Linked DNA regions of Stegostoma tigrinum. The main gene of each other region encodes a partner of the protein of the gene in region 3 in a complex. Links are inferred from orthologs where the notes say so. Each region holds a gene or a part of one and is shown on either strand. Other genes may lie near its edges.

What was found.
Region 1: the proteins of rgs7b (region 3) and guanine nucleotide-binding protein subunit beta-5 are in contact, whole or in part, in a cryo-EM structure (PDB 7EWP), measured with the Homo sapiens proteins. The link is inferred for Stegostoma tigrinum from reciprocal best matches to the Homo sapiens genes RGS7 and GNB5. Residues at the interface, in NP_001351815.1 of Homo sapiens: Pro19, Leu22, Val23, Lys26, Val30, Ile72, Val76, Glu77, His80, Leu81, Leu84, His88, Val207, Asp213, Ile214, Lys215, Lys216, Leu258, Gln261, Ile262, Trp265, Gln266, Gln268, Leu269, Arg271, His272, Arg273, Leu274, Lys275, Met276; in NP_057278.2 of Homo sapiens: Leu57, Glu60, Ala61, Glu62, Leu64, Lys65, Leu68, Glu71, Lys74, Leu75, His76, Asp77, Val78, Glu79, Leu80, Val83, Leu90, Phe93, Arg98, Arg99, Leu109, Lys117, Arg118, Ser134, Phe135, Trp149, Met151, Leu167, Tyr197, Ser206.
Region 2: the proteins of rgs7b (region 3) and gpr158a are in contact, whole or in part, in a cryo-EM structure (PDB 7SHF), measured with the Homo sapiens proteins. The link is inferred for Stegostoma tigrinum from reciprocal best matches to the Homo sapiens genes RGS7 and GPR158. Residues at the interface, in NP_001351815.1 of Homo sapiens: Gln35, Ile43, Ser55, Arg109, Phe110, Thr112, Pro113, Tyr114, Phe115, Lys134, Thr136, Lys140, Ala141, Arg142, Leu143, Leu145, Ala146, Asp147, Ala150, Leu153, Gln157, Trp164, Phe168, Met169, Gln170, Glu172, Ala173, Gln174, Lys176, Val177; in NP_065803.2 of Homo sapiens: Leu507, Lys508, Phe510, Leu511, Arg513, Thr514, Tyr595, Tyr598, Ala599, Thr602, Val603, Pro604, Ile714, Arg715, Leu718, Lys719, Tyr722, Leu725, Glu726, Tyr728, Lys729, Arg730, Met733, Ile734, Thr735, Asn736, Asn737.

What each region holds. Positions count from the first base shown.
Region 1 is NC_081386.1:20,114,650-20,122,433, reverse strand, and holds the start of guanine nucleotide-binding protein subunit beta-5, read right to left. Parts: upstream 3,279-7,784; 5' UTR 3,178-3,278; intron 2,750-3,177; exon of another isoform or gene 2,732-2,749; intron 1-2,731. UniProt on the Homo sapiens protein: Enhances GTPase-activating protein (GAP) activity of regulator of G protein signaling (RGS) proteins, such as RGS7 and RGS9, hence involved in the termination of the signaling initiated by the G protein coupled receptors (GPCRs) by accelerating the GTP hydrolysis on the G-alpha subunits, thereby promoting their inactivation.
Region 2 is NC_081355.1:121,447,818-121,456,296, forward strand, and holds the start of gpr158a (probable G-protein coupled receptor 158), read left to right. Parts: upstream 1-5,201; 5' UTR 5,202-5,810; coding exon 5,811-6,682; intron 6,683-8,479. UniProt on the Homo sapiens protein: Metabotropic receptor for glycine that controls synapse formation and function in the brain. Acts as an atypical G-protein coupled receptor that recruits and regulates the RGS7-GNB5 complex instead of activating G proteins.
Region 3 is NC_081362.1:75,958,194-75,966,448, forward strand, and holds the start of rgs7b (regulator of G-protein signaling 7), read left to right. Parts: upstream 1-5,038; 5' UTR 5,039-5,269; coding exon 5,270-5,292; intron 5,293-5,736; coding exon 5,737-5,863; intron 5,864-8,255. UniProt on the Homo sapiens protein: GTPase activator component of the RGS7-GNB5 complex that regulates G protein-coupled receptor signaling cascades.

The DNA.
Region 1 (7,784 bases), on a different chromosome or scaffold from region 3:
CTGTGACAGAACTATGAAGTAGCTGTAGGAGTAATGTCAAATCTGAGTAAGTAAGCAGAATAACCCTGCTATCACTGCTGAGGAAAGAAAACAACAAGTTGCATTATAGCCTAGTTCTCACTGAGGAGCAGAAAAGCCAGATAGGAGAGATTATGCAGGCTTTCAAAACATACTTTGAACCCCATATTAATACTACTTATGTTTGGTATTTGTTGAATTTCAGAGCTTTGAGGGAGATGGAGACAATTGGTCAGTATGTGACCATACTGTTACACATAGCTGGATCCATTGAGATTGGACAACTAAAAGTTAATCTTATCACAGATAGGACTAGCCAGGCATTAAAGATCCTGCAGTGAAAGCACATGTCCTGAGAGAGGGGAAACATCTCACAAAAAAGTGATCGGCATGGCAGCAGTTTTGAGATTGTGAACCATTAGCTACAGCGTATAAATGGGAGAACAGATGATGGGTTGAATTAAGCTGATTGACGTCCAAGGCCAAACGAGAAAAGTATTTCGGGAATAAAGGATAAATAGTTGCAGAAAAGCCAGTGGAAAAGTAACAGACAGATGTCAGAACGTGCATACATGGGCAGCACGGTGGCGCAGTGGTTAGCACTGGTGCCTCACAGCGCCGGGGACCTGGTTCAATTCCACCCTCAGGTAACCACCTGCGTGGAGTTTGCACATTCTCCTCATGCTCCTGCTTCCTCCCACAGTCCAAAGACATGCAGGTTAGATGGATTGGCTGTGCTAAATTACCCATCGTGTCCAGGGATGTGCAGGCTGGGTGGGTTAGCCATGGGAAATGCAGAGTTGCGGAAAGGGTAGGCGGGTGGGACGCTCTTTAGAGGGACAGTGTGGATTCAATGAGCTGAATGGCCTACTTGCACACTGTAGGGATTCTATGATTTTATATTACTCACACAAAAGATAGGGAGGAATGTTCAATGTGGGGGAATTAGTACCCTAACTGCAAGAAACTGGAATCACTTTTCACACAAGTGTTGAGCTAGAAAAAAAGCAAAGCAAGCTTATACAGATGTCAGCCAGTGATACACAAGCGATCCTTATGATGTGCGACATCCCAGACAGACCAGGGATGAAGCTGGCTGAATTACTTATGTTGTCACTGTTGACTATTATTCTGATTATTGGAAAAAAGACTAACCAAGTCAACAGCAAACAGTGAGATTGTCAAATACAATTCAATTGTTATGGCATTCCAGACATTGTGATGAGTGATGACGGCCCTCATTTCATGCTTGAAACATTCATTCGCTTCCTACAGGATTGTGAAATTCACCATCATACATTGGCTGTACACTATCCGCAGTCAAATAGAAAGGCCGAGACAAAGGGATCAGAAAGAAATCAAGTAAATCTGGCGCAGTCTTGTACAAGGCAATCCTTGAGCAGAGTCTAAAGGCTAATGTCACAACACACACAAATTATCCTTCCAATAGTGGAAATAAAACTATCAATGCCGGAAGCAGTAATATGTATAATATAAACATGAAATGACAGGAAGCAAAAATTCATTTTAATAAAACTGCCAAGTAGTTGCCAGAACTGAGCATTGGAGAGCCAGTCAGAGTCCAAACATTCAACATTCTCAACAATGGTTAGTTCATATAGCCAATTGGGACTTGTGGACAGCTACATTTAACTTGATCACACACAATGAATATCAACAACGAGATTTGTCAAAATAGCCGCAGATACATGCATACAACTGGAGACCAAACACCTTTACTACAGGCAGCAAACCAGGAAGAAGTGATCTCATCACCTCCACAGAGTACAGGACAACGTTCAGCCCTGGAGTTTCATTGTTCCCCAGCAATAGAAATGGATTAGTAACAACAGTTACCACACACTACCATATGGGATCAACACTCACTGGTGAAGGAACATCACCTTAAGAATGAGCAGGCAAAAGAACAGCCATCGGCAATGCCCAAACAAACAATTATGAGATCTGAAATAAATAGGGAGAGAGGGGGAGGCAGACCAAAAGATGGATAGAAGAGAAGATAGGTGGAGAGGACAGTATAGGTGGGGAGGTAGGGAGGGGATAGGTCAGTCCGGGGAGTACGGACAGGTCAAGGGGGCGGGATGAGGTTAGTAGGTGGGAAATGGAGGTGCGGCTTGAGGTAGGAGGAGGGGATAGGTGAGAGGAAGAACAGGTTAGGGAAGCAGGGATCTACTCAATGTACCGATTACTTATATATGTAGAAACTAATGGCAGTTGAACTGACTAGAGTTAACGCATCCTGGTCCCTTCGTGAATGATAACGTTCATTGTTAAACATATATACCGGATAACTTGGATAACTTATAACTGCAAATGATAGTGTTCATGTTTCTTTTTTTTAACCAAAAGGGGAGTGTTTGCAGAAATACCCTTGTATTTAGTGCACCAACTGGTCATATGACCAGTTCTTCTGGGAACTCCTGTTGGCATCTGTTAAAAACACGTCACTTAAAAGAGGAAGGAACAGCAAGGGTCTCTTACTGGCCCTCTATTCAGCTGACAAGCGATTCACTGCGTCAACAAGATTCCACCCTATGTTTCAGGTCAATGACCTCTCATCAGAACCTTTCTATTAATTTCTCTCTCTACAGATGTCCAACTTCTGAGAATTTTCAGTAATTCCTGATAGTTTATAAACACAATTTCATCATATGCAAAGAACTACTAAAATCTGAAATAAAAGAAAAATAACCTAGATACTGGAAATCCAAAATACAAGCAGAAAAAGTGATGGAAATATTCTGCAGGTGCGACAGCATCTGTGAAATGCAAACAGAGTCAATATTTTAAACTGAATATAATCTGAAAGAAGACTTGTATTCAAAGCAAAATGCTAACTGTTTGTCTCTCTCCAAATAAATCCAGATTATTGACTATTTTAAGCACTTTCTGTTTTGTTCAGCACCAAAATCCATACTCGATTTACTCAGATAAAAGAAGATGTATAATATTTGCAAAGTTTAACAATTTGAACTGTCACACAGATGACATCACGAATTCCTCATTACAGGTTGTTATTTAGCCTTTTAATTCTGAAAATCAATTAATTCCAAACATATGCTGGAATGGGAACATCTGAAACATTTATCTGCATGTAAAATGCCAACATTTGAACATTGAGTTTAAATTCAGACATACCTGAATGCTCCAGGAAGAATGCAGATGGGAGGCTGAAGTCAGGCTCTGAGAGACTGAGGATTTGAGAAACTAATCCAGCTTCAGTGGCTAAGTGATAATCTATTTAAAGGGTTACAGGTCATTTTGAATATTTTTACTGACACCTTTCGACAGAGCCTTTTTATAGTCACTGTAACTTTGCACTTTATTACAAGAAACGTAAGGAATCTAACAACTAAATACATTGGATATTTTGTGTGTCTCAGGAATGTTTGGAATGATTAGCTGTTCAAGAGATTCATGACTCAGTTGACGTCTTAAATAGATCAGCCAGTTGATCACATGGTTTAGTTTTCCAAATACGCAACACAGCATCTGAAAACTGTCAATCGTCCTTAAAATTCCTTTACAATTTCAAATCCACAAAATAAATTTTAAAAAAGGTGTATATTTTAATTGAATGTACAAGTTTGAATATATCAGTGACCAGGGATGGTCTGAACAACTTTGTTGACTTAGACATTGGGTGGAGTATTTACATTTTTAAAAATATAATTCATGGGATGTGGTCATCTCTGACTCAACTAGCATTTATTGCCCATCCCTAATTGCCCAGAAGACATTTAAAAGTCAACCACATTAGTCACATGTAAGCCAGACCAGGCAAAGATAGTAGATTTCCTTCAATAAAAGGTGAATTGGATGGGTTTTCACAACAATTGTTGGTGGTTACATGTTACCATTAGGCTTGCTGTTAATTCCAGATATTAATTTCATGATTTATCATGGTGGGCATTGGAACCCAAGCCCCAGGAACATTAATCAGCTCTTCTGGATTATCAGACCAGTGACATCACACAATGCCACTGTCTCCCCTGATAATAGGTGATTGTGTAGAAATTATGCTAATTAAAGTTTTATCAGACTACCAAATATTTTAAAATTACAGCACAAGAGGAAAATATTACAAATCCTGAAATTCTGATTAAAACAAGTGATGCAAATAGGAAGTTGTTGGCATCTGAAGAGATTGGAAATGGGTTCCTGTTTGCATCGGGAATCCCTTAGTATAAACGAGAGGGTGGAGTGAAAAGACAATCTGCCTATGAAGGTGGATCCAAAGTTTTTGAAAATTTTGTTCTGGGAGAAGAGTTTTACTACTGATAGCACCGCATGAAAATTTGAAAGCGCCCTGCCTGATTTTCCAGATCAGGTTTTTGAAAGCCCAGAGAGTAGAAAGTTGAGTTAGAAGTATTACTACCTGCACCTGAGTGAACTAAACAGGTGACCCTGATCAACATTTCCAGAAAAGCAACTGGTGAATCCACATCTTTGCCTGTGAAATAATGTGCAACTTTTAAGTAATCTGGTCAGTTTTATTAATTTCTTTTTATCTCGACTGACTGATTCTGTATCCACTGCCCTTTTGAAGAGAGTTCAAAATATCTACCACACTTTGTTTGTAGAAGAGCTTCCTAATATCACTCCTGAACAGTGTAACCCTAATTCTCAGTCTGTGTTCCCTAGTTCTAGAAACCCTGATAAGTGGAAATGGTTTATCTTTGTCTACCTTGTCTTTTCCGGTTAATGTCTCGAAGACATTGATAAGATCACCCTTTAGACTTCTACATTCTAGAGAAAACAAGCCTAATTCGTCTAACCTCCCCTCACAATCCCTGAAGTCCGAGTAGCATTCTTGTAAACCTACATTGTAAGCCAACAGTTCTCCAAAGGTCAATATATCCTTTTTAAGATGTAGTGCCCAGGTCTACTTAACCTCTCTGCATGTGAAAGTCCCTCCATACCCGATATCAGCTTAGTGAGCCTTCTCTGCACTGCCTCCAATCCCAGTAAATTTTAGTGACCCAATGTTTTCAGGGAGTATTACAGTCCATGACTGCTGATTCCTGAATAAATTAGTCAAAATGTCATATCGTAGTAACATCCCTACTAATAGGGTAAGTTCTCTTTGAATTTGAAGTGGTCATCCTGAGCAATAATTACTGACTTTAGGAAAGCCAAATCATATTTATTGCCCAAGCCAACAACAGTTTATGAAATTAAAATTGTAAATATCAATTGAGAGGAGAATTAACTCATCTGGTCACTGTTCCATTTAAAGTAAGCCAGTACAACTTACCAGTCTAATTATTTAATGGCCTAAATAAAATGATAGTGCCAGTCCATGTAGGAGGGCAGGAGAGAAGTGGGACCAGGTCAGCGGAATTTGAAACTAGATAATATCAAACTGCTCTCCAGTAAAAAAAAAAACCCTATTTTTAATCCCAAAGCAATGTTTCACTTTATTAGTGTTTGGTAATGTCATCCTTTCTTCACAACGGGGTCAATCACTAAGGGACTAATCTTAGGTCCACTGTTCCTGCTTTACTAGTGTTATCATCATGGACTAATTGTACCAATGTTTAAATGGGTAGCTCTGGCTAATCAAGGCCTCAATTGCTGAGATGGTAACCCTGGTAATAAAAATGAAATTATTAATCTAAACGTAGGTCTTCGAGATTCAAGCACTAAGGGCTGTGATTACTTCTTTTGGCAGCTTGTTCCATTGTGAGGTTGCCCTTGTGGGGAAAATAGGTTGTTGGTATACCATCTTGCAAAAGGGGATGTCTTTGCAGTTTGTGTGGATCGTTCCCTTGTGGTTTGTCATTGTCAGAAAGCACTAGGCATTTGTTTCTGTTAATGTCCGTTCTATATAGTATAGAATATGAGTTAGCCTATTTTCCCTCTTTTGCTGTAGTGATTCCAATTCGAGATCCACTGATGAAGGCAGTGACACTGGTGTATTTTCCAGTTGAATCATGGAGTACGTTTGGATTGTTTCAAGCTTATCGAATAATAGGATCTTTGTACAGAAGAGGCCCTTTGGCCCATTGAGTACATCACCAAAAACTACACCACTACCTCCACTAAGATGACTTTAGCATACTAGGTCCATATTCTTGAATGTTTTGGCATTTCAATAGTTCATCCATGTACTTTTAAAAAAGGTTGTGAGATGACCTCACAGGCAACCCATTTCAGACCCCACCCCAACCTCTGGTGAAAGAAACATTTTCTCTAAATACTTCCTTTTAACATAAAAAGTGTACCCCCTTGTTCTTGACCATTCACCGAAGGGGAACAGCAGCTTTCTACCTACCCTGCCCATGCCCCTTATAATCCTGTAAACCTCAAACCAGGCCCCTGTCAACATCCTCTACTCCAGAATAAGAACCCCCGAGCTTATCCAGCCTCTCTCTGTAGCTGAAATTGGAGCAGTACTCTGGCTCTGTAGTTAAGACAGCAGTGGACATGGGTTTGATTCCACCCTCGGGCGACTGTCCAAGTGGAATTTGCACATTCTTCCCATGTCTACACAGGTTTGCACTGGGTGCTCCAGTTTCCTCCCACAGTCCAAAGATGTGCAGGCTGGGTGAGTTAGCCGTAGGAAGTGCAGGGTTATAGGGTAGTGTAAGAGGGGTGGGCCTGGGTGGAATGTTGGGTTGCTGTGACTTGATGAGGTGAATGGCCTGCTTCCACGCTACAGGGATTCTTTGAAATGCTCCAGCCCAGGCAAAACTCTGGTGCATCTCCGCCACACCTTCTTCAATGCAATTGCATCCTTCCCATAGTGAGGCAACTAGAACTGCACATGGTACTCTATTTGTGGTCTAACGAAAAGTTCTGTACAGGTTCAATATAACATCCCTGCTCATATAATCTACACCTCAACTGATAAAGACCAGGATGTGTCTTCTAAACCACCCTATTAACCTCTACACCCAATTTCAAGAATGTTTGAACACACAACCCAAGATCACTCTCAGCTTCTTGGTGCTGTGGGTAAGTCACCACATTTCAGCTACTTATTAAAGAAATCTCATATAAAATCAAGTACTGAAACAATAATTCAAACTTTATTGCACGTTGCAACTAAACACAAGACCCCTTAAGTAAGCAAGTATAAGCCTGCGATCCAACTTAGTGATTACCTGAATTAATGATGAAATCTGGCCAGGACTTCAACCAAAAAATGGTCTGTCTCTGGAAGTCTCCAGGATTCAGTCCTTCTGTAATGTTGTTCTGTTAAGTTCTGCTGTTGAGTTGTTCTGGTCTTTGATTCTTATGCAGATATTCATCCTTCAGTCTCTGAGGTGATATATTGATTGATATTGCTTAAAATGTCCTTTCACCAAATTACTGCAAGACTGCAGCTGGATTCCTTAACAAAAGTAATTTCTTTGTTCCTTGTTACATTTGGCAAGACACGGCTTTCCTATGATTACCTCCTTAAATTCTTCTACAGGGCAATCAGTTAGTTACCCGTGTTGCATAAAGCATCCAGTCAAGCAGGTATCAAAGCAGTTTTCTCTATGTAGCCCCCACTCCCAGACGTGCCAAATACTTGCAATTCCTGTATAAGTCAGTCCTTGTCTTTATTAGTGTGTGTGTGAAACAGCTTATCTTTTGTTGGTTCATTCAGTCAATGAGCTGTTATTAAAATTCTGAAGTCTATAATATCACGTTAGTGTCCTGACAGTCATTGAGAGCTAATTTGTCTCTTTTGCCAGTAAGGATCCATACAAATAGTGTACACAACTAATAAATATTTGATAAGCTGTGACACT
Region 2 (8,479 bases), on a different chromosome or scaffold from region 3:
CTTTATTTATTCTGACATTGTTTTCTTTTAAAATGAGATCAGTAATGCTTACAAGAAACCCTGAAGCTCTGTAGCGTAAAATGGTACAGATAGCTTGTTGTCAGGATACCTTTTCATAATATTTACCGTGATTATTGTAGCATTAAGTGGAACCAGTTCAGGTACCTTACAAATAAAGAAATATGATGGGCCTATCTTTGCTCTCAAATGTAGCTAATAGTGATTGTACCATTTTATGCCCGACTTCAGCAAATGGGCATCCAGATGTGACTATGCCAGTCTACCATTAGCATAATACAAATGTAGTGACTGCCTCAATATTGAAAAACATTGAGTAGCATGAATCTGCTGTATTTGGATGGCAGATATGAATTAAACATGCTATATGAATTGAATCACGTCATTTAGAGTCGAACTTACCTGTCATTTATGTGAGAAATGTTAATGCTTACCAATAAAACTCTTTGATACTGAAAATTAACAATTAAATGTATGGAGTTTCATTCATTTGGGTATTAATTATGTTGAGATTTTAAAATTGTTGAAGAAATAAATTTTTCAAAATGCTTTTTTCTCTCTCTGTATTTTTTGTTTTGTACTTGATTCAATATTTAGCTCTTGCATTTTTCCAAGAATACTTTCTGTTCAATCCTTGCACTGTTTTTCGTGGCATTCATCAATATGATTGATCAAAGAGACATGCATTTGTTTGTGTCATTCATTCAGATCTCAGTCTTCCCCAATCTCCTTTGTCCTTCTACCGCAATATTATCAACTCTTTAAGGAACTTCACAAGCAAATTGTATAAAACTCACCACGTCAAAGGGTAAATCTAACTAGTGGCACCCTACCATAGGAGAAGCTGATCCAATCTGTCTGATGGTACATATTCAATTCATTGAATGTATCACAATGTAAGTGAGCAACGGCTAAGATAAAGTGGTTAGCATGGCTGTCTCAGCACCAGGGACTGGAGTTTGATTCCAGACTCTGGCAATTGCCTGTGTGGAGTTTGCACATTCTGCCCGTGTCTGCATGGATTTCTGTCGGTTTCCTCCTGTAGTTCAAAGATGTGCAGTTTGGGTAGATTGGCCATGTTAAATTGGCCGCAGCATTATTTTCAACATTTATTTAAAATAATACTTCTTTGCATTGGAATGGTGGTAGTTTCTCATTGTTTCAGCATAGTTATATGCAACTCCATCTGCCGAATTTAAATGCTAGCTTTTTGTGTTTCATGGTTTCTGTGCTATAGCTTTCTGCAGCCTTTCTCCATTTAACAGTATTCACCTCTTCTGCCCTTCCTGCCACAGTGCATAACCTCGCATTTTCCCATTTTATATTCTATCTCCCCAAGATTTTTGCCCACTTGCTTTATGCCATTCACAAATTTGGGTATAGTGCATCCACTTACCTCATCCAAACCATTTATACATGTTGTAAATAATTAAGGATCCAGCACTGATCCCTGGGTACTGTGCTAGTTATACGTTATTATCCTGAAAATGCCCTTCTTATCCTAACTGTCTATCTTCTATTAGTTAGCCAATCATCTTTCTATGCTAATGAGCTACCACTAACACCATGGGAGGAGATTTTGAAGCTGGTTCACCTGCACATCCGCCAATGTGGTATACTGCATCTGCTGTACACGGTGTGGCTTCCTCTACATTGGGGAAACCAAGCGGAGGCTTGAGGACCACTTTGCAGAACACCTATGCTTGGTTCGCAGTAAACAATTGCACCTCCCGGTCGCGAACCATTTCAACTCCCCCTCCCATTCCTTAGACAACATGTCCATCCTGGGCCTCCTGCAGTGCCATAATGATGCCACCCGAAGGTTGCAGGAACAGCAACTCATATTCCGCTTGTGAACCCCGTGGCCCAATGGTATCAATGTGGATTTCATCAGCTTCAAAATCTCCCCCTCCCCCCACTGCATCCCAAAACCAGCTCAGCTTGTCCCAGCCTGCCTAACCTGTTCTTCTTCTCACCTATCCCTTCCTCCCACTCCAAGCCGCACCTCCATTTCCCACCTACTAATCCCATCCCGCCCCCTTGACCTGTCCGTCCTCCCCGGACTGACCTATCCCCTCCCTACCTCCCCACCTATACTGTCCTCTCCACCTATCTTCTCCTCTATCTATCTTCGATCCGCCTCCCCCTTTCTCCCTATTTATTCCAGAACCCTCTCCCCATCCCCCTCTCTGATGAAGGGTATGGGCCTGAAACGTCAGCTTTTGTGCTCCTGAGATGCTGCTTGGCCTGCTGTGTTCATTCACTTTGTTATCTCGGATTCTCCAGCATCTGCAGTTCCCATTATCTCTGGCCATAAACAAAACTTGTGATCTTATTTAAATTCAACTTGCAGCTGGACAGGATGAAGATAAATGGCAGCAGCTAGATGTGCAGCTAGACTTTTTAAAATTGCTTTTTGGATGTGAGCATCACTGGCAATATCAGTATGATTGCCATCCTTAATTACCAATCAGTAGCTAGTGGTAGGCCGTTTTCCTGCATTACTACAGTCTGCATTTCTGTACTTTGACCAAGCAACTAGGCAATAGTAGTAATTTTCCATGTCCAGATAGGGTTAAATGGAGATAAAAAGGTGTGGAGCTGGATGAACACAGCAGGCCAACCAGCATCTTAGGAGCTGGAAAGCTGACGTTTTGGGGCTAGACCCTTCATCAGAAAATGGGTTAAATGAAAATGTGGAAGTGAGTATTCACATGTGCCTGTTGCCTTTGTCATTGTGAATGCTAGATGCTGTGCCTTTAGCATGTGGATGGAGCCATGGCATGGTCTGCAGTGTGTCTTGTAGATGGTACACACTGTTGCCATCTCATTGAGGGAGTGAGAGCTTATCAAAATGGGTCCTTTGTCAGAGATGGTGTTTGGCTGATATTGTTGCAGGCATGAGAATTGTTATTGGTGGAAAAGTCAGGAGGTGACATTGGTTGTCAGGAGGTGAGGTACTCAGCTCAGAACATCCAGTGCCTGACTTCTTCATGGGGCCACACTATTTATGTGGCTAGTCCAATTAAATTTCTGGTTGATGGTGAGGCCAGTGTATACAACAATAGCAATGCCATTGAATATGAAGGTTATCATGCTTCCCGGATGATGTGATGATATAACACAGTATTTACATCTGGTTTTATAATCAATCATTTCTGGATAGATAGACGTACAGGATCAGAATACTTGTGCATGAAACATGCTCATTTCGCCTCCAGTGTCTGGACAGTATCATATAACCTGCTAAATCTTCTACCCCAGCCTTTCCATGAGCTTTTAAATAAAAAATCACAATTCCTTTGAAATCTTTGGTTTCCTTATGCCTTGAGCTGTTCTTTTACTGAATGTCACTTAAAAAAAGTTGTTTAACGTACAGCAGGCTATATAAAAATCTGTATCAGAGATAATAGGAACTGCAGATGCTGGAGAATCTGAGATAACAAGGTGTAGAGCTGGGTGAACACAGCAGACCAAGCCCAAAACGCCAGCCTTCCTGCTCCTAAGGTGCTGCTAGGCCTGCTGTGTTCATCCAGCTCGACACTTTGTTATCGCTATATAAATAAAAACCTTTTATTATCTTTTTGATTGAACATGTTGAAAGGAAAAGGAAAAAAATTGTTTTGCAGCCCACATTCAATCACATCTATCACATCAGCTGTACATAATATGATTTAACTAATATAGGCTTGAGTTTTCATTAAACCAACTGGTTTTAGTAATTAGATGAACACAGCAGGCCGAGCAACACCTTAGGAGCAGGAAGGCTGACGTTTTGGGCTTGGCCTGCTGTGTTCATCCAGCTCTACACCTTGTTAGGAGCAGGAAGGCTGACGTTTCAGGCCTAGACCCTTCTTTAGAAAGTTCTTCATTTCTGAGGAAGGGTCGAGGCCCAAAACGTCAGCTTTCTTGGTCCTCTGATGCTGCTCGGCCTGCTGTGTTCATCCAGCTCTACACCTTGTTATCTCAGATTCTCCAGCATCTGCAGTTCCTACTATCCCTGGTTTGAATGATGAACCTTTACAGTATGTAGTATTATATCCACAAGTTCGTACTTAAACCTACTTGAGCAAAGTGTGCTGCTTAATAGTCTCAAATCATCGTATTCCTGTGACTACTGCTTAATGATCGTCGCTTAGCGTTCGAAGATGATTTATAAAACTCAGGTTATTGTTTAGCTAAAACACAATGTCATGACTGATTTCTTATCACGGAGTAAGAGAAAGTTGTATTTCTTGCGCAACATGTTAAATTTGAATGATTGCCTATAGTCGACATTTTCCATCTTTCAGGGCTGCACAGTTTGCTGCGATAAGAAATGAACAGCGACGGGTTTTGCGAAGAATGTCCGCATTCAGGAGACTTGCCACAACGCGAGCCTCCGAGGTCAGTCACTGTTGAATGCTACGGATCACAGTCGAGGCGCTGTTCTTTCAGCACCAACCGAGAGTTGCCTCTCGTATCGCAGCTCATTTGTGCATTTTTTTGAAAGGAAAAAAAGAGCAACATCGTGCTTAAACTGTTTCGGGGCGATAAAATAATTGGTCAAATAGGACACTGCAGGGTCTGGCATCTTATTATGAGTTGAAGCTGAAATGGAAGCTGAAAGTAGCGTCGCACACAGCGCACAGGAGGTTGCAGACGAAGGGAATTCAGGGAGTCGGCCCAGAGAGATCCGTGTCCCGGGGGCTTTCCGCCTGTCAGCCCCACACGCCCTCGACCCCCACCCCAATTCGCTTAAACGAGACTCGGCCTCAATGTGCCGGGTGGAGTAAGGATAACGACAAGAGGGCACCACACTTCCTCCGCCAAACCCCGCCCCACCACCGTCATTGGTTACGCCCACCGTGACAAGCCACGCCCATCCAACCCAGGCCCGCCCACTACGCTCAAGGCCCCACACCTGCGGGCGGAAACCCCCGCGCCCCGCCCACTTAGGGCAGCCCGGCTGCATCAGTCTCCGCCCCCTTAGCGTTGAGCCTCGCCCCCGCACACACCTTTGTCCAATGGGTGACGGACGCCCCGCCACACTCCATGATTGACAGGCTCTCGCACCATTTAAACATCGGCAGTGCGCCGATGACGCGTCGGGCCGTGTGGGAAACAACCAATCGGAGAACTAGGCGGGGCGGGGGCGTTTCCAATCGGGTGGTGCGGGGCGAGGAGGGGAGGGGCGGGGCTCCGTGTCTGGGCCGGCGGCGTCCGGGCAGACTCACTGGGCATTGCACACAGGGCGGGGAAAGTGTACGCTGGATACCGCGTCCTGGTGATAACACCCCCACACCCTGCCCGCCCCCAGACCACCCATTCACCCACAGTGTCCTCGCCGCTCGCTGGCTGCACTCACTTCCCTTCCCCTGCTGCAAAAGTGGCTGCGAGAGATCCTCCGGCGGGCGATGGGAACGGGGGAAAGTCACCCGGACGGAGAGCACTTCTGGCCCGAGTCGCTGTCGGTGGCGGAGATACTGCGAGGCTGAAGGAGACGCTTGGCGAGAGCGGCGGCTGTGCAGTCGACTGGCATGGGGAAGTGAGAGGAGAAACAGCAGATCAGTGAGTGAGCCGGGGCTGCGGATCCAGAGACAGAGAGAGAGATTCACCCCGGGGGCTGACATCTCAGCACCGCCGCGATGGGTTTCCCTGGGACTGTCTTAGGCGATGTCGAGATGACCTGATTCCTGGCGCCCCGCTTCCACGTTCCTGTCTTTGCTGCCACAGCCTGACTTGAAAGGGCTCGGCGTTTGGTGGTGGGGGAAGTGAAGGTCTGGGGTAAGCCCGGGGGCTCGGCAGGCGAGATGGCAGGTTTCTGGCTGCCTCTAATCCTCCAGCTCGGAGTCATGGCTGGTTCGATCCCCGGCTTGGGGGGCAGACGCACGGCGCCAGAGATGGAGAAAGTGGACACCTATGAGGAGCAGCGACCCGTCTACGAGAGACACCAGTTCCCGGACGCAGCCGACACCGGTGGCGGTGGGGGCAGCTCGCATTCATCCCATCACGAGAGCCTGCCCGTTCCGGTCTGGGCTTTCCTCCACACCGGGGATCCCTCAAAGCTTGGCTACGCTAACTGCACGAAGAGGTACCAATTGTCAAACCTGAAAGAGGCCTCTCACCCGATGCACATCCACCCGTCACTCCACAGTGCCATGGACACTGTCGTCCATGCCAGCAATTTCTTAAACATGATCTTACAGACGAACGGGCTTCGGGAGCTGACCGTCAAGGAAGACATCGAGTGGTATCACGCCCTGGTCAGGAGTATTCTGGAGGCTGATCCCAAAGTCCATCGAGCGGTGGTGACTTTCGATGTTCAGCCGTTCACATCCCCTCCTCAGCTCTTCCTCCAGGCCACCCGGATAGACAACCAAATCTTCCTCCAGGATCTCTCGGCCAGCGCTCGCCACCTGGCAAACCACACCATCGAGACGGAGTGGTTTCACCGCCTGAAGTATCAGCCTTCTGCCGAGGCTTCCCTTCACAGGAAACTGCTGAGAGACGACCTGAGGGCCAGCCCCAGGAGGAGAGGCACGAGGTATCTGGTGGATAAAACTCACATCAAGTGGTCGGCGCCCTACCTGGAATGTGAACACGGCAAGTACAGCCCGCTGTGGCTGCTGACCCTCTCCACCTCCTTCTATGGGCTGAAGCCGGATTTCCAGCCCGAGTTCAGGTGAGCACCGCCTGGCTGTCCGAACTCACGGGTCATTTCGGAGCAAGATTCTGTCAGTTGTCGGCCCCAGCTGTACTAATCCCCAAATTTTCTAACTCGTATAACCAAGGTGGTTACTGTAACACGCCTTTCACTGTATTAAATACTATATTCATGTTTGCGAGGCTGCCTATTTCTCTCTGATATAAGAACGTAAGTAGGTGTTTGATCTGATTGCTTGTTCCGCACCGGGGTTGGGCTGGGGGCGGGGGTCGTGGGTTGGGTGGGGGTGGTAGTGACATTCATGTTGGTGCATGTTAGCAGTTTTTGGAAATTGAAACAAAAGAGAACCTTTTTAGAAAGTGTTCTCGAAGTGAGCTCCCCTTTATACGCGGAGCGAGAGACAGTGAGAAGAGACACTCCTGTATGGGGACAGCTCACAGATGACTGTCCCACAGGAGAACTCGGACGCGTCTGTCTAAGTGAAGATGCTGTTAAATTCTGTCCGAGAGGCTCAGCGGGAAACCTTTTGGGGATCATGACATGTCCTTCCTCTGCATTTGTAAAATAAGAGCGCGTTGTTTATCTCCTGGAAGAAGAGGGAATGCCAGGTCCAGGGTTTGTGGAGACGGTAGATGCTGAATTTGATAGCAGGGTGGCTCGTTTGATCCTGTCGTAATAACACGGCTAATGTTGAACTTGCACGCTTTGGCAGACTGTTTACTATTGCTATATTTTCCAGATATGAATGGGTTCCTTCACATGACGTCAACTCGGTTGAAACCATTAGCAGCAGAGTCCTAGTCTCTGTGTGATGCATGTCAGTGTCTCAATGTCCTGCAGCAAGCTGCCGAGGGTGGGATCAGTCCTGGATAGGGACCAAACTCGGTTCATAATTGCATTATTAGGTTTCTGCCAAGGTGCCGGACAATGATGTTCGCTCTCTAAGTTCGCATGTTTACCCAGACTGGTGCTTTCCCCTCGCTGCAATGGAATTGTATTTCCCCCTGTAATGTAACGTATTCTGATCAACACAACTGATTCATTTTCACGTTGACGCACTCGCCAGATTGCAAAGCGCCCCAGGAGTCAGTTTCGGCATCTCCAAAGAAATGAATTTTCGCTTTGTGAGAAAATTGATGCCACCCCTCTTCCCGCTCCCATTCTCCGCCCCTTTACAATCCCGAACCTTTTAACCACAAACATTAATGCGCCTTGCAAAAGGCCGTTAAAGTTAAACGAGAGGTTCAATCTGAAAGTAGCTCGAAATTCCTTAAAAAAATGCTCGCTTGAGAGTCGCGGGTCAACTGAGACCAAGTGAAATTGGCGCTTGTGCCGCTTCAGGCATCCACTGATCGTGAACATAGTTTGAGCTGATTTGGCACCGCTATATTTGCATTTTCACAATATTTTGAAGTACAACTGTCATCATTATCTCTTAATGCGATTTAAAGTGATATTTATCCCCAGTGGATTATTTGCTCAAAGGAATTTGGACATGAAGCGAGGGCTCACTGAAACTAGACGATGGCAATGAGAGCCAGAAGTTTCTATGACAGTGAGCCTGCTTACACGGTGCCTGTCAATGAAATTCCATTTCACCTCTTGGTTTGCGAATTGCTGATAGTGTGTGGAATAGAGGAACAAATTTTCATTCGGAAATTATTTTTGATGTTTTAGAGCTTTCAGGTATTGTGACTGCTTTTAACACAAGTTTAATATGTTCGATTATCCCCGTCCTCCTGCCTCCGTCGCCAAAATAAATCGCATACCCAACTGACATATACATCAAAGAACAGTCTTAGTTTGATGACAGGT
Region 3 (8,255 bases):
AACCAGCCTAGTTCATCCCCTCCCCCCACTGCACCACACAACCAGCCCAGCTCTTCCCCCCCACCCACTGCATCCCAAAACCAGTCCAACCTGTTTCTGCCTCCCTAACCAGTTCTTCCTCTCACCCATCCCTTCCTCCCACACCAAGCCGCACCCCCAGCTACCTACTAACCTCATCCCACCTCCTTGACCTGTCCGTCTTCCCTGGACTGACCTATCCCCTCCCTACCTCCCCACCTATACTCTCTCCACCTATCTTCTTTACTCTCCATCTTCGGTCCGCCTCCCCCTCTCTCCCAATTTATTCCAGCTCCCTCTCCCCATCCCCCTCTCTGATGAATGGTCTAGGCCCGAAACGTCAGCTTTTGTGCTCCTGAGATGCTGCTTGGCCTGCTGTGTTCATCCAGCCTCACATTTTATTATCTTGGAATTCTCCAGCATCTGCAGTTCCCATTATCTCTGATACTATTTTACTCTCGCCTTGTAGTTTCCTTTATTAAGGGTCAGCATCATAGTCTCTGAGTCAAAAGCCTCACTCTCCATTTTGATAAAAATATTGCATCATGTTATGGCTGCTCTTCCCCAAGGGGTCTTGCATTGCTCGATTGCAACGATTCCCTTCTCATTACACAGCACCCTGTCTAAGATGGCCTGCTCTCTAGTTGGTTCCTGCACATATTGGTTCATAAAACCATGCCATATACAGTCCAGAAATTCCTCCTCTACAGCATTGTGGCTAATTTGATTTGCCTAATACATGTGCAGATTAAAATCACCCATCTTCCTAGTTCCATGTATTCTGCCTTTCGGAATGCATCCCTTTTTTTTACCAATATTCCCTTCTCACATGCATCTCTAATTTTCAGTTTCATGCCATTCTCGATATTACCATTCCAGTATGACACCTACTAATTTTTTTTATCCCTTGGTATTTCTCAACTCTACACATACAGACTCCACATTGTCAGAGCTAATATCCTTTCTCACTGTTAACCAGCAATGCCACTCCGCCACCTTTTCCTTTTTGCTGGTCCTTCCCAAATACTAAATACCCTGGGACATTCAGTTCCCATCCCTGGTCACCCTGCAGCCATGCCTCTGTAATCCCAGTTATACTGTATCTATCTGCATGATTAGTGTATCCACTTTACTGCAGATGCTCCATGCATTAAGGCACAAAGCCTTTAAGCTTGTCCTTTTAATGTTTGTCTCCTCCTTATTTTTCTCAATATCCTTGTTTGAATCTTGTTTTTGATTTCTCAGCCTATCGCTTTTCTTATTCCTTTTTCTAGTTTTTGTTTTTGTCCCTGCTGCCTCCTTCACTGAATTTATACACACGTTCCCAGCCCCCAGCCTATTAGTTTAAACCCTCCCCAACTGCTCTAGCAAACAGTCCCCCCAGGACATCAGTCCCTGTCCTGCCCAGGTGTAACCCATCCAATTTGTGCAGGTCCCACCTCCCCCAGTATTTGTCCCAATGCCCCAGGAATCTGAAACCCTCCCCCTGACACCACATTGCAGCCACCTATTCATCCAGTGTATCTTGTCAGTTCTCCTCTGACTAGTATGTGGCACCGGTAGGAACTCTGATATCACTGCCTTTGAGGTCTAATTTCTTAACGCTCTTCCTAGCTCCATGTATTCTGCCTTTCGGAATGCATCCCTTTTTTTTAACCTATGTTGTTAGTTCCAACGTGTACCACGACCACTGTCTGTTCACCCTCCCCCTTCAGAATGTCCCCAGCCTGCCAAATTGAGCAAGAGGAGCAAACCAAGACTTTGAGCTCTGTTCCCATGGTTTACCTCTTTAAATTAAACCTTGGAGAGTGCTTTTGTTAGATTAAATCTAATCCAGTTACTTGTGGTCCTTCTTTCCTAATCAGTGTGCTATCCTTGCAGAATAGAAGTCAAAAAGAGTACTATAAGTGATTTACAGCAGGTAGGACAGACACCAATCACTGAAAGTATTTCCTTAATGCCATGGAGCGAAGAAACTTCACAGGCATCAACAGTGTCCAACTGTTAAAACTGAACGCTTTCACTGTAAAACATAAGAAACTTTTAGAAAATGAGTCAAAGTAGGATACAGCCGTAGAAAAGGAAAAGACCAATGAAATACCCAAACAAAGTGATAAATGAGGTGGAACAATTTCCAGTAAAAGTCAAAACCAAAATTTTCCTGAAGTACACTGTCATCCAGACCAAATATTTCGGAAAGCAGACATTTATGTCAATGAATGGCTCACGAATTTCAAGTTTGACATGACAGAACGTATTATAGTATTGATTTTGGGCTTTAGTTGATGAACATTGTTTGCAACAGCTGACAGAACTTCAACTGTAGGGTCTAAAGATATGCTACGAGCACCTCTCCAACATAGAAGGCAACAAATTCTAGAAAACGTATATGTACTTCATTACCAGGAATTCTAAGTTGGCCCCAATTATATTTAAAAGCTAGAAGGGGTAATCAACAAAAGAAAGAAAATCAAACAAGAGGTGACAACTGAACAGTACAAACCTCTCAAGACAATTCAAGTAGCTGACTTGAGTCAGACTGCAATGCTACAAAGTGAACAACTAATTACAATGAATCCAAGTTACACATTAGATGCTGAATTGACTAAGAAAGGTCAGGTTCAAGTAGAATATCTTCCAAAGAAGAATCCTCAACAACCATAATGGATATTAGAGCAATCAAAAAGTAACCTTCAAGCAATGCAACTCAGGAAGTGAACAGAATAGTTTCACCAATGGTTGAGTCACGGAGGGCAAATAAGAAAATCAAAATGAATGAACCATATGAAGTGGAAAGTTTTTCTACTTCAGTACATGTGGATTGAGAACAAAAGTCCACTGACACTAATTCAAGTTGTGGTGCATACAGCTCCATGGAAGACACCAGTAAGAAAAGACAAGAAACGTCTAAAGTTCAAGAATAAAGGAATTTTCTGTAGCAGGGTTGATGTCTGTAATGGAAGAAACACAATAGATTAAAGAAAACAAAATCTGGTTCAGAAGAGAACCTTGAATCACAGACCATCTTTGCAGGTCTAAACAGAACACATTAAGGGAATAGTGTAACCTCCAAATTGGCTCAGTTTGTAAGACTTGCTGTTACTGATAGGATAATTATAGTAAAAGTTATTATATAACAATGTATAACAATAATAGCTACAATAAAAAGGTTTGGTAGAGATGTTACATATTGGCTGAAAGGGTTAACGCTTGATTGAACACAATTAGCAGCACCCACAATTATGATCCCATGAGGATTTGGTGGAAGATTAGAGTTGGATCTCATCAGTGACAATTCTTTGTACTAACGTGCAGCCTATCCTTACAACCTGTAAATAATTATTGAGATGTAATAAACTATATCTCGTTTACTCCACAGGAGTCTTCTGATTAGACCAGATGATGGCTTACTCTCGCACACACGTAAACACCAAAAGAACCCACATTTAGAAAACACAACTGCAATGCACACAAGTATTAGGTTAGTTTATTTAATACACCCCTTTATTTTGAAAGTGCTACCTCATTACTGATTTTTCCACACAAAGTTATGCCCATTTATTCTATCCCCCGATACATACTGAAGCTAAGTAACTATTTAACGTTGCTGCCATCTCGCCATTGCTACGATGGCGTTATTCTGTCTACTTAATTCGCAGGCCCGTAAGCCTTCAATCCTTACTTTGGTTCCTACTCACACAATTACATCCTGTTTTATGGTGAACAGGAGAGATTGCTGCAGAGAGGGATCGGTACTCCACTCACTTAGTGTTTAACAAGCTTTTCAATTTCCCACCTTGTAGTTCTACTCACTACCTTGCCATCGATACTTCTTGTCATGATTAAAATCACCCTGTTTACCCTACTTCTGCTTTCCGCCCCGCCCCCATCTTAACTTCATGCCGTTGCATATTCCCCGTTCACCCCTTCCAGTGGGACAGGGTTCCCATCCCGATTCAGGTAAAGATTCTTAAGCAACTGGCAGACAGGCAAATGAGAGATACAGTCGATGAGGAAGAGGCAGAGAGAAAGGCATGTGGTTTGGCTGGGGTGTCACTGACAGAATTATGTCGGCAATGCCACTGAACTTTAAAAAAGCAGCAGCTTTTTAAATAAACTAAATCTGTAGTTTATTTACAGATCTTTTTTGATGCTAACAACATGCATTTATGTAACGCCTCCAACATTCCAGATTTCTAGTACAGTTTACCGGAGACCGAGAGTCTCTGGGGTGAGTTTGATCAGCAGGACGGCGAGTGACTCTCTCAGCAGAGAGATCATAAAATTGTGAGGTAGGTTTCAGTTGCAGCATCTCTAACACGAACCCCACCTCACTTGGCTATAACAATCTTCAAGACCCTGCTCTCACACTTTGCAAGCCCATTCTCCGCGCCGCCGCATTCATGGTCATCAGAAATCTCCTCTCCCTTCCCAGTCACCAACGTCCACCGTGCCGCCCAACCTCCTCCCCCAGCTGGAAGTGCGCCGAATTTTATCTCACAGGAGCGGGTCACCTTGCTGTTTGCAGTTTCAAGACACGCTACACCGCGCGGACTGCGAGAAACTCCAGCCCCACGAACATTATTCGCAGGGGGCTGGCCCATCGCCGCGGCTCAGCTCCCGGTTGCAGGAGCGCGCGCGCCCGAGCGCGTCACGCGCACCCCGCCCCGCCCCCTATCCATCTCCCCAGAACGCGCCCGGGGAGCGTGGAGCGCGGGCTCGCTTTGCAACACATTTCCCAGGAACAAGGTTGAAAGACACAGACAGACAGGATAACAGAGAGAGAGAGAGAGTTGGGGGGAGGGGGGGTGGGGGCGGGAGGAAAGCCGAGCCTCGGTGCTAAACCACCCGCAAGCCCTTTCAAATGAATCATCTGAGGCCGGGATCTGGAGCGGATAAGAACATTACAAGAATAATAAGGAGGTTTCTGCTCCTGGCGTGTGCAGTGCGCCGAGCTTGAGGTAAATCACGGTACGGGGGTCGTCGCTAGCCTTTTCTAAACAGAAAAGAGAATATTTCAAAAGACAGCGAGAGGGGGAAGAGAAGGAGAAAGCAAAGCCTTAAGCCGTGAGACGCGGTGCAGTAGATAGTATCCCTCCGTAGCTGGCCACTGTGGCCGGCCCTGGTTGCTGTCTGTGGTACTGAACCTGTTTCAGGGCTCAGTCTGGCCGCTCTTTCCCATCCGCCAACCTTGTGCACCCTTTCCCCGACGCTGCATCTGAATGCACAGCCTCCCCACACCCAAGGCTGCATGAAAACATTTGATGGAATGAGGTATTATTGAGGAGACTCCGCTGCATGCAGTCGCCTAACGGTACAACGCGGGGAACGTGCACTGAATGTACACTTGCCGTGCAATCCCGGTCACATTTTTCTTTGCAATCTTGCGCGCATTTCTGTGCATTTTATTGAGAACTGCTTGGATGGCTTATCCTCATGCGCTTTCCATTTCTGCGATGCCTTGTCGTAGGCATAGCTCCGCGCAAAGATCGCATGTGCTTTTGTGATGGCTTTATCTTCCAAATCCGCGGTCATAAAATCATAAAGGGATTTAGAGTCGAAGTTTACACGAAGTGCTGCCTGCACCCCTCCTCCCTCTTGTGTTGGTATATGTGCATTGCCCTCTGCTATGTCCAGATTTGACATCTGCGGCTACTTCAATCCTTGTACTAACGTGGCGCCTGACTTTATCTTTTCTAATTTCATTTTCTTGCTTAGTGAAAAGTCGAAAGTCCGAAGGCAGCTGAAGACAGATCTTGCGATGGCTCAAGGAAATAGTTGTGGACAGAATGCCAGTAACAACGGCATGGCAGACGAATCGCCGAACATGCTGGTGTACAGAAAGGTAGGCGTGTGTGGGGAAATGCATGTAACTTGTGGCGGAAGATGCGGCGTCTTCTTCAAGCTACGACGTGCAGCACGTTATTTGGGACCCATGATGTTTGTAGTTTGCCTTGCTTACGGCCGTAATTGTGGCCAGGACGAATAAGATAATCATTTAGCTGGACGTAATCAGGTTCTTCTGTTCCCAATGTGTCCCAAGTACGCTTGGGGCTCGGGGCGGGCTAGGTTTAAGCTAACTACCGATTGTTGAATTGTGGTTCTGGTCAGCTGTAGAGAGCTTTCTTTCCGAGGGTATTTATTTAGGTCTGTTTGTGTGTGTGTGAACGCTGCTGGGGCCAGGGGCTTGTCAGCAGCGGGTCTCAGTCCCTTACAGGCACAATGCACCGGTTTTAGGTGACGGCACCAAAGTGACAGGTGGCTGCAAAGCAGATCTGAGCCAGAGCTGGCACAGATCTTAACCTCGCCACATGCCCACAAACAGTGGGCTGCAGCTAGCACGTGTTCTGTGTGAACTCGCAAGAACGATGAGTTCGGTTTAATCCGGTTGTCCTCGTGAATCACACGCATTTTTAGAGCAAGGCTTTCCACAACTGCTGTGGCTGCTGTAGACTGTTGGGATGAATTAAATATAGCCTTTCTCCCTGGCATTGGTCGAAAATACTCACACAGGCATTTAAAGTGGCAAAAACACTCATATTCAGTACCGCACGTTTTTAGTGATGATTTTTTTTAAAAAGTAGGTTTTACTTTATAAATACCAGCTGAACGAAACACTTTGAAGACGGCCCAACATGAACTGAAATACACAGCCTTGAGATTAGATCTTCCTGTACCAGTGGAAATAGTCTTCCCAGGGCCACAGAGATCACTGGTCTGAAATTACACAGAATTGAGCTGGAACAGGCAAGTAGATGGAGGGACCAGGTCAGTGCAGATGTAGAAAAAACATTCAATAGTAAACACAGCTGTTATGCAACTCTTTACATTTCCTGAAAAGGCGAATTTGTGGTTTCTTCCATATCATTGCATGCTTTTCATTTCGTATTGAATACTTTAGTGGGGAAATGTTGGAAGTGTAATTGAGTGGTTATCACCTATTGAACTGCAACATGAACACCACTTCCATGTCAACATTTAAACCTGGCGTTTCTGTTTTATAGGCAGGGATGCTATCTACGGAGTCAAATACTTGCTGTGATTTATTGCTTTACGTTTTGCATTGCGTTTCAAAGGCAATAGGAGCGCAGCTACGGTTATTATAACCGTAGAATATTCGAAGAATATTGAGTTATTAGAACTCAAAAAAGAGCACTGCTCTGTATAATTTGCATTCGTAGTGTTCCTGATTTAAGATGTGACCGTTCGTATTAATGATTCACTAGTGAAAAAATGCAGAATGGAATTTCCCAAGATTAGTCACTAGAATAAAGTTCGGTATCACTGCTCGGTCTATCAGGTGACTCACTTGCAGATACATTGTCAATGACTGGCATGAAATCCCTGTTGACAAAAACAGAGCATTAAGATTCTTCTGTAAGAAGTTATTAATAACACTTTCTTTGCAGAACTGCATGACTGTCAAACAAAAGATGATGCACTCCTGCAATTTTCCTGTTAATGATTTTGAGAAACCTAATATCATTAGTAGGAACAGTACATGAAAAGTAAACCATAAAACAAAATAATGCTTTTACACTTTGTAAATAGCTGAAAAGCTGCTCAACTTGTGTAAATGACTAACGTTAATCTCGCTGTGATGTGCATTTTTGTTGACACGTGAATGAAATATTTAGAAAGCCCACTTTACAATCAGGCCATGGATGTCCCAGTAGATGGCAGCATGGAGATGGAGAGCAAATGAATGAATTTCCATGAGTGACAATTGACCACTTCTTTCAAAATAAAAATGGTCATCTATGGGATGCATGTGTGTTTGAACTTTCGATTTATTATACATCAGTAAACAATATGATGAATATCGTTGTTTGCAATTCCATACATATATTATACATATATGTAGGGTATAATTAACATATGAGAATTGAATCTTACAACTTACCAACAGGTTCCAGTAGATCTTGATCTTGTGTAGGTATTAAGTAATATTGATGTAAACCATGAGGTATTTTAGGCTTAACATTATTAAGTTACATAATCAGATGAGGCTATAAATAACTGGGACTATAGGAGCATCAGAGGAGCAGGAAAGTCAACATTCTAGGTTTACACCCATCATCCGGAATTTTGTATTTGCCCTGCTCCTCTGCTGCAGTCTGACTTGCTGTGTTCCTCCTGATCCACAACGTATTGATTCTGACTCCAGCATCTGCAGTTCTTGCTATCTCCAAATGTATGAGCTAACCTGGAGACATAGAAGAAATGCTTGAAATGAT